3 linked regions of the Stegostoma tigrinum genome follow. The main gene of each other region encodes a partner of the protein of the gene in region 2 in a complex. Links are inferred from orthologs where the notes say so. Each region holds a gene or a part of one and is shown on either strand. Other genes may lie near its edges. The genes, in order: sptlc1, ORM1-like protein 3 and sptssa.

Region 1 (3,745 bases), on a different chromosome or scaffold from region 2:
TAGATAGAGTTGATAGCCAGAGACTATTTCCCAGGGCAGAAATGGCTAGCACGAGGGGTCATAGTTTTAAGCTGGTTGGTGGAAAGTATAGAGGGGATGTCAGAGGCAGGTTCTTTACGCAGAGAGTTGTGAGAGCATGGAATGCGTTGCCAGCAGCAGTTGTGGAAGCAAGGTCATTGGGGTCATTTAAGAGACTGCTGGACATGTATATGGTCACAGAAATTTGAGGGTGCATACATGAGGATCAATGGTCGGCACAACATTGTGGGCTGAAGGGCCTGTTCTGTGCTGTACTGTTCAATGTTCTATGTTCTATGTTCTAACAGACATAAGGCTCACCGGCTCATTTGACTGTGGCTCATTTATTGGCTGTCTCAAACTGTAAGTGGTGTTTTTAAAGGATCATGACGTGAGTGACGGTTATTTAAACATCTGCAAGAGCTGTGATTAATTGGAGGAGGTTGTATCTTTTAGAACAAAAGCAAATGCCTGGCTGGTCACTTCACTTTCTCCAAAGGAACATCTAATTTATTTTAGATTTCCAGCAGCTGCTGTAGTTTGCCTTTATTACACAATTTTTGTTCAGTTTTTTAAATTGTTTGACAAAGACAGCAGTGCTAAGTAAATTTGTGATCAGAGATAATGGGAACTGCAGATGCTGAAGAATCCAAGATAACAACGTGTGGAGCTGGATGAACACAGCAGGCCAAGCAGCATCTTAGGAGCACAAAAGCTGACGTTTCAGCCCTAGAACTTTTCTGATGAAGGGTTTCGGCCCGAAATGTCAGCTTTTGTGCTCCTAAGATGCTGCTTGGCATGCTATATTCATCCAGCTCCACACTTTGTCATTCCTTAATTAAATGTGTTCCCGGAATCAGCTGATTATTGGTGAGCACCACGTGATTGGAGTTGGTGACCATATCAACGATGGCAGCCGCCTTCTTGAACTGGCTTGCGTAAGTGCGCATGCGTATGTTTCTGATTATTCCATTTTTCATGCAGTCAGCTGTTATTTGGTAACAAGATGGCGATCGGGCAGCAGTGGGTTCTAGTGGAAATGGTTCAGGCTTTTTATGAGGTAAGAGAACTGTTCCGTAAAATAATTGTGAAAGTTTCACAGACTGTGGAGAACACGTAGTTCGTAATACATCTCAGAGATGAAAAGCTGGAGGGTATTGTGAACTGGTTTTATATTGAGCTAATATTGCCAAAAGGAAGTTTTGGAAATGTGCTGAATTTTATTGATAGTTGAACGAACCCGGTTTTCCAGTTATGCCTCGTTATGTCCAGAGTGACTACTTATGTTGGAACGTGAATTAGGAAGGATTTGTGGGTGAATTGTTTCAAAGTTAGATTTCTCAGTCTAGTCAAGTGGAACTGAAAGAGGTTCTAGCCAAGGCTGAGAATTGAAATTAAAATGATTCGAAATTGCATTTGATAATGTCCATGGTGACCCATTTATTACCCATTTCAAATTGCTCTGAAGAAGGAGGCAGTAAGCAACCTTTTTATCCTCGAAACCAATCAGGTTGAAAGCCTGTAGGAGGAAATTTGACCTTGCCCAATTTAGCCTTTATGGCTGGTCGAGATACAAATGGATTTTGCTCTTGATTATGATTTTTAATAAGGCCTTTGAAGCGCTTCCAGTTCTTTCTAAAAAGTGACTTGTAATTGTCATCATTTTAGATCACTTTTAGAAGGACAATTTATTGTTGGTTTGCCAACAATAAATGAATCACGAGTTCTTTGATTTAACACTTCTAAACATAAATTGCTTAATATTTATAAACCTGATGTGTTAAGTATTCAATAGGTTAAAATTTGTACTAGATAATTTGGTTAGCTGATGCTCAAAATATATTTTCATGTTAAGGGTTGTAGAAAACCTTTTCACTTTTTTTGAAGATTAGCTGTTCAGACTTATTTTTGAATTGTGGGTATCTTGTGCAAGGCCAGCATTTATTGCCCATCTCAACTTGCTCTAAAGAAGATGAGATGAGCAATCTTTTTGACTGCAAGTAATGTGGTGCAGATGCATTTCCAGGTCTGTTTTCTGCAGCAGTTTGATACAAGTGAGTTTCCGAGGTCAGTTGATCACTATAGTTTAAAAAGTGACAGTCGCATATAAGCTAGACTAATGATAGTGGAATTTCTTATGTAAAGATCATAAATGAAGTAATTTGAAATTGAGATTAGCACGTTTTTATTGGGCAGTGTTGTTAAAAAGATTTAGTTCTATTCCTATGTTGAGTAGCAGCAATTAATGCTTTGTCCTGGACAACATCACCAATGATATTGAATATTTAAGGCTACAATTGGCCTCTTTTGCTTATTACAATGCAGTAGTGGTGGGACTGGGTTTGGCTATGATAATATACATACTATATCAGAATAGAGTAGAATCCCTACAGTGTGGAAACAGGCCCAACAAGTCCATGCTGATCCTCGGAGCATCTGACCCAGTCTATAATCCACCTAATCTACACATCCCTAAATACTACGGGCATGTTAGCATGCACGTCTTTGGACTGTGGGAGGAAACCGGCGCATCCGGACAAAACCCACGCAGACCTCAGGGAGAATGTGCGAACTCCACACAGTCGTCCGAGGGTACACTTGAATCTGGGCCTCTGGCACTGTGAGGCAACAGTGCTAACTACTGAGGCACTGTGCCACCCATTACACATTCAAATCTAGGCATGCTATTGCGTGAGCAATAAAAATAAGCTTTGACTCAAGTTTCATTAAAAATTAACTTGAAATGCAGGCCTCACTGACAAAACCATTTTTTCCCCAAATGTCCTGATGTATATTTGCTCTTGGAAAGTAACCAGAGCTGCTTTTATGAACAAGCAGAACATTTGTGGTGATAACAAAATGTGGAGCTGGATGAACACAGCTCATCTGATGCTGCTTGGCCTGCTGTGTTCCTCCAGCTCCACACTTTTTGTTATCTTGGATTCTCCAGCATCTGCAGTTCCCATTATCACAGAACATTTGTGGTGGGTAGGTACTGTGTGAGTACTGAACATGAGAGTACTGTGGTACTCCCACAATACTGTCTGTTAGGAGATTCAGGGAGCCTGTGATGATTGTTGACATGTTCACAAGATTGGGTATTGCAATAAAATTATCCTCAACTGAGTAATTTATTTACTTTTAGCGGAAAACAATGACCACCTCGGTAATGATTTCAGAACAGGGAAAGTGAGTAGAGTGTCTGATTAGTTTTTATACATGCGAATTAAGTAACTTTGTAGATTGCTGCAATCTACAATCTGGAAAATGTTTTTCTTTTGAAAGAGCAAGGGCAATATTTTAATTAACTCCATTACTAACCTTTCTTGTCCTCCTCTCATCTTAATTGCATAAAAATATGCATATTTAGAACACACAGCCCCTTGTGCTTACCTCAGTTCAGTAAGATCATACCTAATCCAAAAGTATGATGCTCCTATTTACGGAAAACATTTTTAACCCCTTGCTTATCAAGAATCTGTCTCTGTCTTTAAAGACATTCAAAACCTTTGCTTTCACTTCTCTTTGAGGAAGAAAGTCCCAAAGAAAGACCGTGTAAGGAATAGTCTTATCAGTGTCTTAAATGGTTGACTTAATTTTTAAAATGGCCCCCAGTTCTAGATTCTTTCTCAAGAAGTGCCATTCTATAAGATGTAACACTTCCTTAATGCTTATTTCAGTTCTCTGTAATATCAAGACAATTCAATTATTTAAGTTTTTCTTTAGC
Region 2 (3,745 bases):
CCACCATCATCCCTCCTCCCTCCCCCCACCCCCCCCACCATCATCCCTCCTCCCTCCCCCACCCCCCCCACCATCATCCCTCCTCCTCCCCCACCCCCCCACCATCATCCTCCTCCCTCCCCCCACCCCCCCACCATCATCCCTCCTCCCTCCCCCCACCCCCCCCACCATCATCCCTCCTCCCTCCCCCCACCCCCCCACCATCATCCCTCCCCCCACCCCCCACCCCCCCCACCATCATCCCTCCCCCCACCCCCCACCATCATCCCTCCCCCCACCCCCCCACCATCATCCCTTCCCCCCCACCATCATCCCTTCCCCTTCCCCCCTCCATCATCCCTCCCCCCCTCCCCCTCACCATCATCCCTCCTCCCTCCCCCCCACCCCCCCCACCATCATCCCTCCTCCCTCCCCCCCACCCCCCCCACCATCATCCCTCCCCCCTCCCCCCCACCATCATCATCCCTCCCCCCCTCCATCATCATCCCTCCCCCCCTCCCCCCCACCATCATCATCCCTCCCCCCCTCCCCCCACCATCATCCCCTCCCCCTTCCCCCCCACCATCATCCCTCCTCCCTCCCCCCTTCCCCCCCACCATCATCCCTCCTCCCTCCCCCCTTCCCCCCCACCATCATCCCTCCTCCCTCCCCCCCCACCATCCCTCCTCCCTCCCCCCCCACCATCATCCCTCCTCCCTCCCCCCCCACCATCATCCCTCCTCCCTCCCCCCACACCATCATCCCTCCTCCCTCCCCCCACCCCCCCCACCATCATCCCTCCTCCCTCCCCCCCACCATCATCCCTTCCCCCCACCCCCCCACCATCATCCCTTCCCCCACCCCCCACCACCATCATCCCTTCCCCCTTCCCCCCCACCATCATCCCTCCCCCCACCCCCCACCATCATCCCTCCCCCACCCCCCACCATCATCCCTCCCCCCACCCCCCCACCATCATCCCTCCCCCCACCCCCCCCACCATCATCCTTCCCCCTTCCCCCCCACCATCATCCCTTCCCCCCCACCATCATCCCTTCCCCCTTCCCCCCTCCCCCCCACCATCATCCTTCCCCCTTCCCCCCCACCATCATCCCTCCCCCCCACCATCATCCCTCCTCCCTCCCCCCCACCATCATCCCTCCTCCCTCCCCCCACCCCCCCCACCATCATCCCTTCCCCCTTCCCCCCCACCCCCCCCACCATCATCCCTCCCCCACCCCCCCACCATCATCCCTCCCCCCACCCCCCCACCATCATCCCACCCCCCCCACCATCATCCCTTCCCCCTTCCCCCCCACCATCATCCCTTCCCCCTTCCCCCTACCATCATCCCTCCCCCCCTCCCCCCCACCATCATCCCTTCCCCCTTCCCCCCTCCCCCCACCATCATCCCTCCCCCCCTCCCCCCCACCATCATCCCTCCTCCCTCCCCCCCACCATCATCCCTCCCCCCTCCCCCCACCATCATCCCTCCCCCCTCCCCCCCACCATCATCCCTCCCCCCTCCCCCCACCATCATCCCTTCCCCCCCACCATCATCCCTTCCCCCTTCCCCCCACCATCATCCCTTCCCCCTTCCCCCCCCACCATCATCCCTTCCCCCTTCCCCCCCACCATCATCCCTTCCCCCTTCCCCCCCACCATCATCCCTTCCCCCTTCCCCCCTCCCCCCACCATCATCCCTTCCCCCTTCCCCCCACCATCATCCCTTCCCCCTCCCCCCCACCATCATCCCTTCCCCCTTCCCCCCTCCCCCCCACCATCATCCCTCCCCCCCACCATCATCCCTCCCCCCTCCCCCCCACCATCATCCCTCCCCCCCACCCCCCACCATCATCCCTCCCCCTCCCCCCCCACCCCCCCACCATCATCCCTCCCCCCTCCCCCCCACCCCCCCACCATCATCCCTCCCCCCTCCCCCCCACCATCATCCCTCCCCCCTCCCCCCCACCCCCCCCACCATCATCCCTCCCCCCCACCATCATCCCTCCTCCCTCCCCCCTCCCCCCCACCATCATCCCTCCCCCCTCCCCCCCACCCCCCCCACCATCATCCCTCCCCCCTCCCCCCCACCCCCCCCACCATCATCCCTCCCCCCCACCATCATCCCTCCTCCCTCCCCCCACCCCCCCCAACCATCATCCCTCCCTCCCCCCACCCCCCCCACCATCATCCCTCCCCCCCACCATCATCCCTCCTCCCTCCCCCCACCCCCCCCACCATCATCCCTCCCCCCCACCATCATCCCTCCTCCCTCCCCCCCACCCCCCCCACCATCATCCTCCCCCCCACCCCCCCCACCATCATCCCTCCCCCCCACCCCCCCCACCATCATCCCTCCCCCCCACCATCATCCCTCCTCCCTCCCCCCCACCCCCATCCCTCCCCCCCACCCCCCCACCATCATCCCTCCCCCCCACCCCCCCCACCATCATCCCTCCCCCCCACCCCCCCACCATCATCCCTTCCCCCCTCCCCCCACCATCATCCCTCCTCCCTCCCCCCCACCCCCCCCACCATCATCCCTCCCCCCCACCCCCCCCACCATCATCCCTCCCCCCCCACCATCATCCCTCCCCCCACCATCATCCCTTCCCCCCTCCCCCCACCATCATCCCTCCCCCCACCACCATCCCTCCTCCATCCCCCCCACCACCATCCCTCCTCCATCCATTCCCCACCCCCTCCATCCTCCCCTTCTCCACCCCCCAGGCTCTGAGCAGCTGCGGGGCTCAGCTCGTCCTTTGCCTTACCTGGGGAGAGCGATTTTATATTGTCTTGAGAGGGTAGCCCGGAGCCGGGGCCTGAGCTCCTTCCCGCAGCCGCCGGTCCGACCTCCGGCAGCCAGCTCCCCACTGAACTTCCCTCGACCTTCCGCTCCACTCCGGCCCGCCCCCAGCTCTCTGTGACGTCTGCACCCCGGGGCGTCACCGCCAGCGCCACTCAGCCAACTCATACCGCCACCCGCTGGCGGGAGGTCGCCAGGTCAGGACATCGCTAACTCACTGCCACCCGCTGGCGGGAGGTCGCTAGCTCAGGACATTGCCAGTTCATACCGCCAGCCGCTGGCTGGACATCGCCAGCTCAGGACATCACCACCAGCTGGCGGGAGGTCGGCAGCTCAGGTCATCGCCAGCTAATACCGCCACCTGCTGGCGGGATGCGATCTGTATTGAGATTGAAGTTTGCATTGATTTATTAGGTGTAGTGTGGGGATAAAAGTCTCCAGTGTACATAGCTGGGGAGATCAAGGGAACTTGTTAGTCCCAGCAATTGGGAGTTTAAAGAAATTTATAATACAGAAGACACCAACATTGATGGTTCAGGAGTTTTCAATGGAGACACAGATGGTAATATTTGGAGAAATAGTGTCACTGCCGTGTGCAGCACGGCCAGACCTTTCACACACCCCTCCACTCCAGATTCATTTGACAGGAGATGCGTTTCTTGATTGTTCAAACATCTGAATCAGGGGCCTGGGTAGACCACTCAGCCCCCTAAGCCTGCTCTGCCATTCAATAAGACAATCGCCGATCTGAGCATGGCCTCAACATCACATTCTCTCCAATCCCCACCACCTCCCCCGACCACTCCCTGGTAGCTTTTGAGTCCACATTGTGGGATGGAGCGTGCTGTCTGGGTGTATTTGGGGGTAGTCCCTCAACATTTAAGTTGCAGGCTGTAAATTGTGGGTCCAATGGTGTGGGAGCCATAGTGTCAGGTTTGCTGCGGTGCTCCAGTGAAG
Region 3 (3,745 bases), on a different chromosome or scaffold from region 2:
GGAAAGCGGGGCACTGGGGGCGGGGGGGGAAAGCGGGGCACTGGGGGCGGGGGGGGAAAGCGGGGCACTGGGGGCGGGGGGGGAAAGCGGGGCACTGGGGGCGGGGGGGGGAAAGCGGGGCACTGGGGGCGGGGGGGGAAAGCGGGGCACTGGGGGCGGGGGGGGGAAAGCGGGGCACTGGGGGCGGGGGGGGAAAGCGGGGCACTGGGGGCGGGGGGGGGAAAGCGGGGCACTGGGGGCGGGGGGGGAAAGCGGGGCACTGGGGGCGGGGGGGGGGAAAGCGGGGCACTGGGGGCGGGGGGGGGGAAAGCGGGGCACTGGGGGCGGGGGGGGGAAAGCGGGGCACTGGGGGGGGGGGGAAAGCGGGGCCCTGGGGGCACTGGGGGGGGAAGCAGTGCCTGGGGGCACTGGGGGGGGAAAGCAGTGCCTGGGGGCACTGGGGGGGAAAGCAGTGCCTGGGGGCACTGGGGGGGGAAAGCAGTGCCTGGGGGCACTGGGGGGGAAAGCAGTGCCTGGGGGCACTGGGGGGGAAAGCAGTGCCTGGGGGCACTGGGGGGGAAAGCAGTGCCTGGGGGCACTGGGGGGGAAAGCAGTGCCTGGGGGCACTGGGGGGGAAAGCAGTGCCTGGGGGCACTGGGGGGGAAAGCAGTGCCTGGGGGCACTGGGGGGGAAAGCAGTGCCTGGGGGCACTGGGGGGGAAAGCAGTGCCTGGGGGCACTGGGGGGGAAAGCAGTGCCTGGGGGCACTGGGGGGGAAAGCAGTGCCTGGGGGCACTGGGGGGGAAAGCAGTGCCTGGGGGCACTGGGGGGGAAAGCAGTGCCTGGGGGCACTGGGGGGGAAAGCAGTGCCTGGGGGCACTGGGGGGGAAAGCAGTGCCTGGGGGCACTGGGGGGGAAAGCAGTGCCTGGGGGCACTGGGGGGGAAAGCAGTGCCTGGGGGCACGGGGGGGGAAAGCAGTGCCTGGGGGCACGGGGGGGGAAAGCAGTGCCTGGGGGCACGGGGGGGGAAAGCAGTGCCTGGGGGCACGGGGGGGGAAAGCAGTGCCTGGGGGCACTGGGGGGGAAAGCAGTGCCTGGGGGCACTGGGGGGGAAAGCAGTGCCTGGGGGCACTGGGGGGGAAAGCAGTGCCTGGGGGCACTGGGGGGGAAAGCAGTGCCTGGGGGCACTGGGGGGGAAGCAGTGCCTGGGGGCACTGGGGGGGAAAGCAGTGCCTGGGGGCACTGGGGGGGAAAGCAGTGCCTGGGGGCACTGGGGGGGGAAGCAGTGCCTGGGGGCACTGGGGGGGGAAGCAGTGCCTGGGGGCACTGGGGGGGGAAGCAGTGCCTGGGGGCACTGGGGGGGGAAGCAGTGCCTGGGGGCACTGGGGGGGGAAGCAGTGCCTGGGGGCACTGGGGGGGGAAGCAGTGCCTGGGGGCACTGGGGGGGGAAGCAGTGCCTGGGGGCACTGGGGGGGGAAGCAGTGCCTGGGGGCACTGGGGGGGGAAGCAGTGCCTGGGGGCACTGGGGGGGGAAGCAGTGCCTGGGGGCACTGGGGGGGGAAGCAGTGCCTGGGGGCACTGGGGGGGGAAGCAGTGCCTGGGGGCACTGGGGGGGGAAGCAGTGCCTGGGGGCACTGGGGGGGGAAAGCAGTGCCTGGGGGCACTGGGGGGGGAAAGCAGTGCCTGGGGGCACTGGGGGGGGAAAGCAGTGCCTGGGGGCACTGGGGGGGAAAGCAGTGCCTGGGGGCACTGGGGGGGAAAGCAGTGCCTGGGGGCACTGGGGGCGGGGGGGGGAGCAGTGCCTGGGGGTGGGGGTCAGTGTCAGGAGGGGGAAGGGTGTGGGGGGTGAGAGCGTCAGTATCTGGGGGGGGGGCGGGAGAGATGGGTGCAGGGGGTGAGAGTGTCAGTGTCTGGGGGGGGGGGAACGGGGGGAGCAGTATCTGGGAGAGCGTGCGGGGAGGGAAGTAGTGACTGGGGGTGGGGGGTGGTTGCGGGGGAAAGTAGTGTCTGGAGGAGGCGGTGAGGGAGTGCGGGGGTGGGGAAGCAGTGTCTGGGGGAGGGGGTGCGTGGGGGGAGCAGTGTCTGGGGGAGGGGTGTGTGCGGGGGGAGTTGGGGGGGAGGGGAGGGAAAGCAGTGTCGGGGGGTGCGGGCAGTGTCTGGGGGAGAGGGACAAAGGGGTGGTGTGGGGGTGGGGAGGGGGAAATCCCTGTGTTCTCCCGCACTGGGCCCAAGAAAACGGCACGGCCCGGAAACGCCGCCACCTTCTCACCCGGGCCCCCGGAGCCCGTTGCAGAGTCACCACCAACCGCCAAGCAGGAGCCAACCTACCGGACATTAATTATCCAGGACCCCGTCCTGTTGCCAACCCCCTTCTCGTCGACAGCGGCGGAGCCGGAGCCGCCCTATTCCACCGTGCACCACCACTGGCAGCGCCACCTCCGCTCCGGAGGAATACTTGCAGTTAGAGCCGGTGCAGCACCACGTAAAAGTTGAGCTGCGTGTGATGGTGATCTGTGGTAATGGGAACTGCAGATGCTGGCGAATCCAAGATAACAAAGTGCGAAGCTGGATGAACACAGCAGGCCAAGCAGCATCTGAGGAGCGCAAAAGCTGACGTTTCGGGCCTAGCTCCTTCATCAGAAAAAGCACGGTGATAGTATGTCCATGTGATAGTTGCGGTAATAAGTGATAGATGGAGGCACCATCAATATGAAGGTAGGACTTCGTCTCCACAAGGACTGTGCAGAGGTTACTCATCTCCTGCCAGCAGATTGATGGGAATGAAGTCACGCATGGTTACCCCTCACCATCTGCCACAGACCCAGTCCAGCAACTACGATCTTTAAAACTCAATCAACTTGATCAGTCATGGTGCTGCTGAGCCAATCTTGGTGATGGACATTAAAATCACCCATCCAGAGTACCTTCTACACCCTTGCCAAATTCATCGCTTCTTTCATATTGAACAACACTTGGAAGAGTGTTGATTGATCAGCTAATGGAGGACAGTATGTAGTAATTGGGCAGGGGTTTTACATGCTCATGTTTGATCTGATCCCATGAGACTTCTCAGTAGCCACAGTTAATGTTGACTCCCAGGCTGACTTCCTCCTGGGTATATACCACTGTGCCACCCCCTTTCCTAGGTTTATACTAGGTAGGACAGGACATACCCAGGAATGTGATGCTGTTTTTTTTTCTTGGATATTGTATGTAAGGTATAATTCCCTTAGTATGACTATATCAGGCTGTTGCTTGACTGTTCTGAGACAACTCTCCCAATTTTTGCACTAGGTCCCAGATATTGGTGGGGAAGATTTTTAGAGGCGAGAGGGCTGAGTTTGCCATTGTCTTTTTTAATGTCTCAGGCAATGCCATGTGGTCCACCCAGTTTCTTTTTGAGATAACACAGTGTGGAACTGGAGGAGCACAGCAGGCCAAGCAGCATCAAAGGAGCAGGAAAGTTGATGTTTCGGGTCAGGACCCTTCTTCAGAAATGGGGGAGATCAAAGAGAGCTCTGAAATAAATAGAGAAATATAAGTGGGATGGTGATAGGTGAGTGCAGGTGAGGCAGTGGTGGAAGAGAAGATGGACATGTTGTGTCAGGTTAAGGTGGGGATGAGAGGGAGAGTTGGTCATGGGAAGAGGCTGGGTGTGGGGAGATTTTGAAACTGGTGATGGCCACATGGAGATCATTGAGTCGCAGGGTCCCAAGGCAGAATATGAGGTGCTGCTCCTTCAGTTTCTTTTTGAGCCTTTTTAGGAG

What was found.
Region 1: the proteins of ORM1-like protein 3 (region 2) and sptlc1 are in contact, whole or in part, in a cryo-EM structure (PDB 7K0N), measured with the Homo sapiens proteins. The link is inferred for Stegostoma tigrinum from reciprocal best matches to the Homo sapiens genes ORMDL3 and SPTLC1. Residues at the interface, in NP_001307730.1 of Homo sapiens: Gly92, Val93, Gln94, Phe95, Thr96, Ala97, Lys100, Thr103, Ile104, Ile107, Tyr110, Phe111, Ser114, Tyr119, Gln121, Phe124, Thr128, Leu131, Met132, Leu139, Pro140, His143; in NP_006406.1 of Homo sapiens: Ala16, Leu17, Ala20, Pro21, Tyr23, His24, Leu27, Glu28, Leu31, Ile32, Trp34, Ile35, Leu38, Leu39, Ser41, Lys42, Thr43, Tyr44, Lys45, Leu46, Gln47.
Region 3: the proteins of ORM1-like protein 3 (region 2) and sptssa are in contact, whole or in part, in a cryo-EM structure (PDB 7CQI), measured with the Homo sapiens proteins. The link is inferred for Stegostoma tigrinum from reciprocal best matches to the Homo sapiens genes ORMDL3 and SPTSSA. Residues at the interface, in NP_001307730.1 of Homo sapiens: Val36, Leu38, Ser39, Ile40, Pro41, Phe42, Ser44; in NP_612145.2 of Homo sapiens: Ile44, Tyr50, Thr51, Val54, Phe55.

What each region holds. Positions count from the first base shown.
Region 1 is NC_081356.1:51,371,048-51,374,792, forward strand, and holds the start of sptlc1 (serine palmitoyltransferase 1), read left to right. Parts: upstream 1-1,005; 5' UTR 1,006-1,024; coding exon 1,025-1,078; intron 1,079-3,745. UniProt on the Homo sapiens protein: Component of the serine palmitoyltransferase multisubunit enzyme (SPT) that catalyzes the initial and rate-limiting step in sphingolipid biosynthesis by condensing L-serine and activated acyl-CoA (most commonly palmitoyl-CoA) to form long-chain bases.
Region 2 is NC_081384.1:12,493,398-12,497,142, reverse strand, and holds the start of ORM1-like protein 3, read right to left. Parts: upstream 2,895-3,745; 5' UTR 2,754-2,894; intron 1-2,753. UniProt on the Homo sapiens protein: Plays an essential role in the homeostatic regulation of sphingolipid de novo biosynthesis by modulating the activity of the serine palmitoyltransferase (SPT) in response to ceramide levels.
Region 3 is NC_081363.1:58,726,988-58,730,732, reverse strand, and holds the start of sptssa (serine palmitoyltransferase small subunit A), read right to left. Parts: upstream 2,433-3,745; 5' UTR 2,307-2,432; intron 2,286-2,306; exon of another isoform or gene 2,248-2,285; intron 1-2,247. UniProt on the Homo sapiens protein: Component of the serine palmitoyltransferase multisubunit enzyme (SPT) that catalyzes the initial and rate-limiting step in sphingolipid biosynthesis by condensing L-serine and activated acyl-CoA (most commonly palmitoyl-CoA) to form long-chain bases.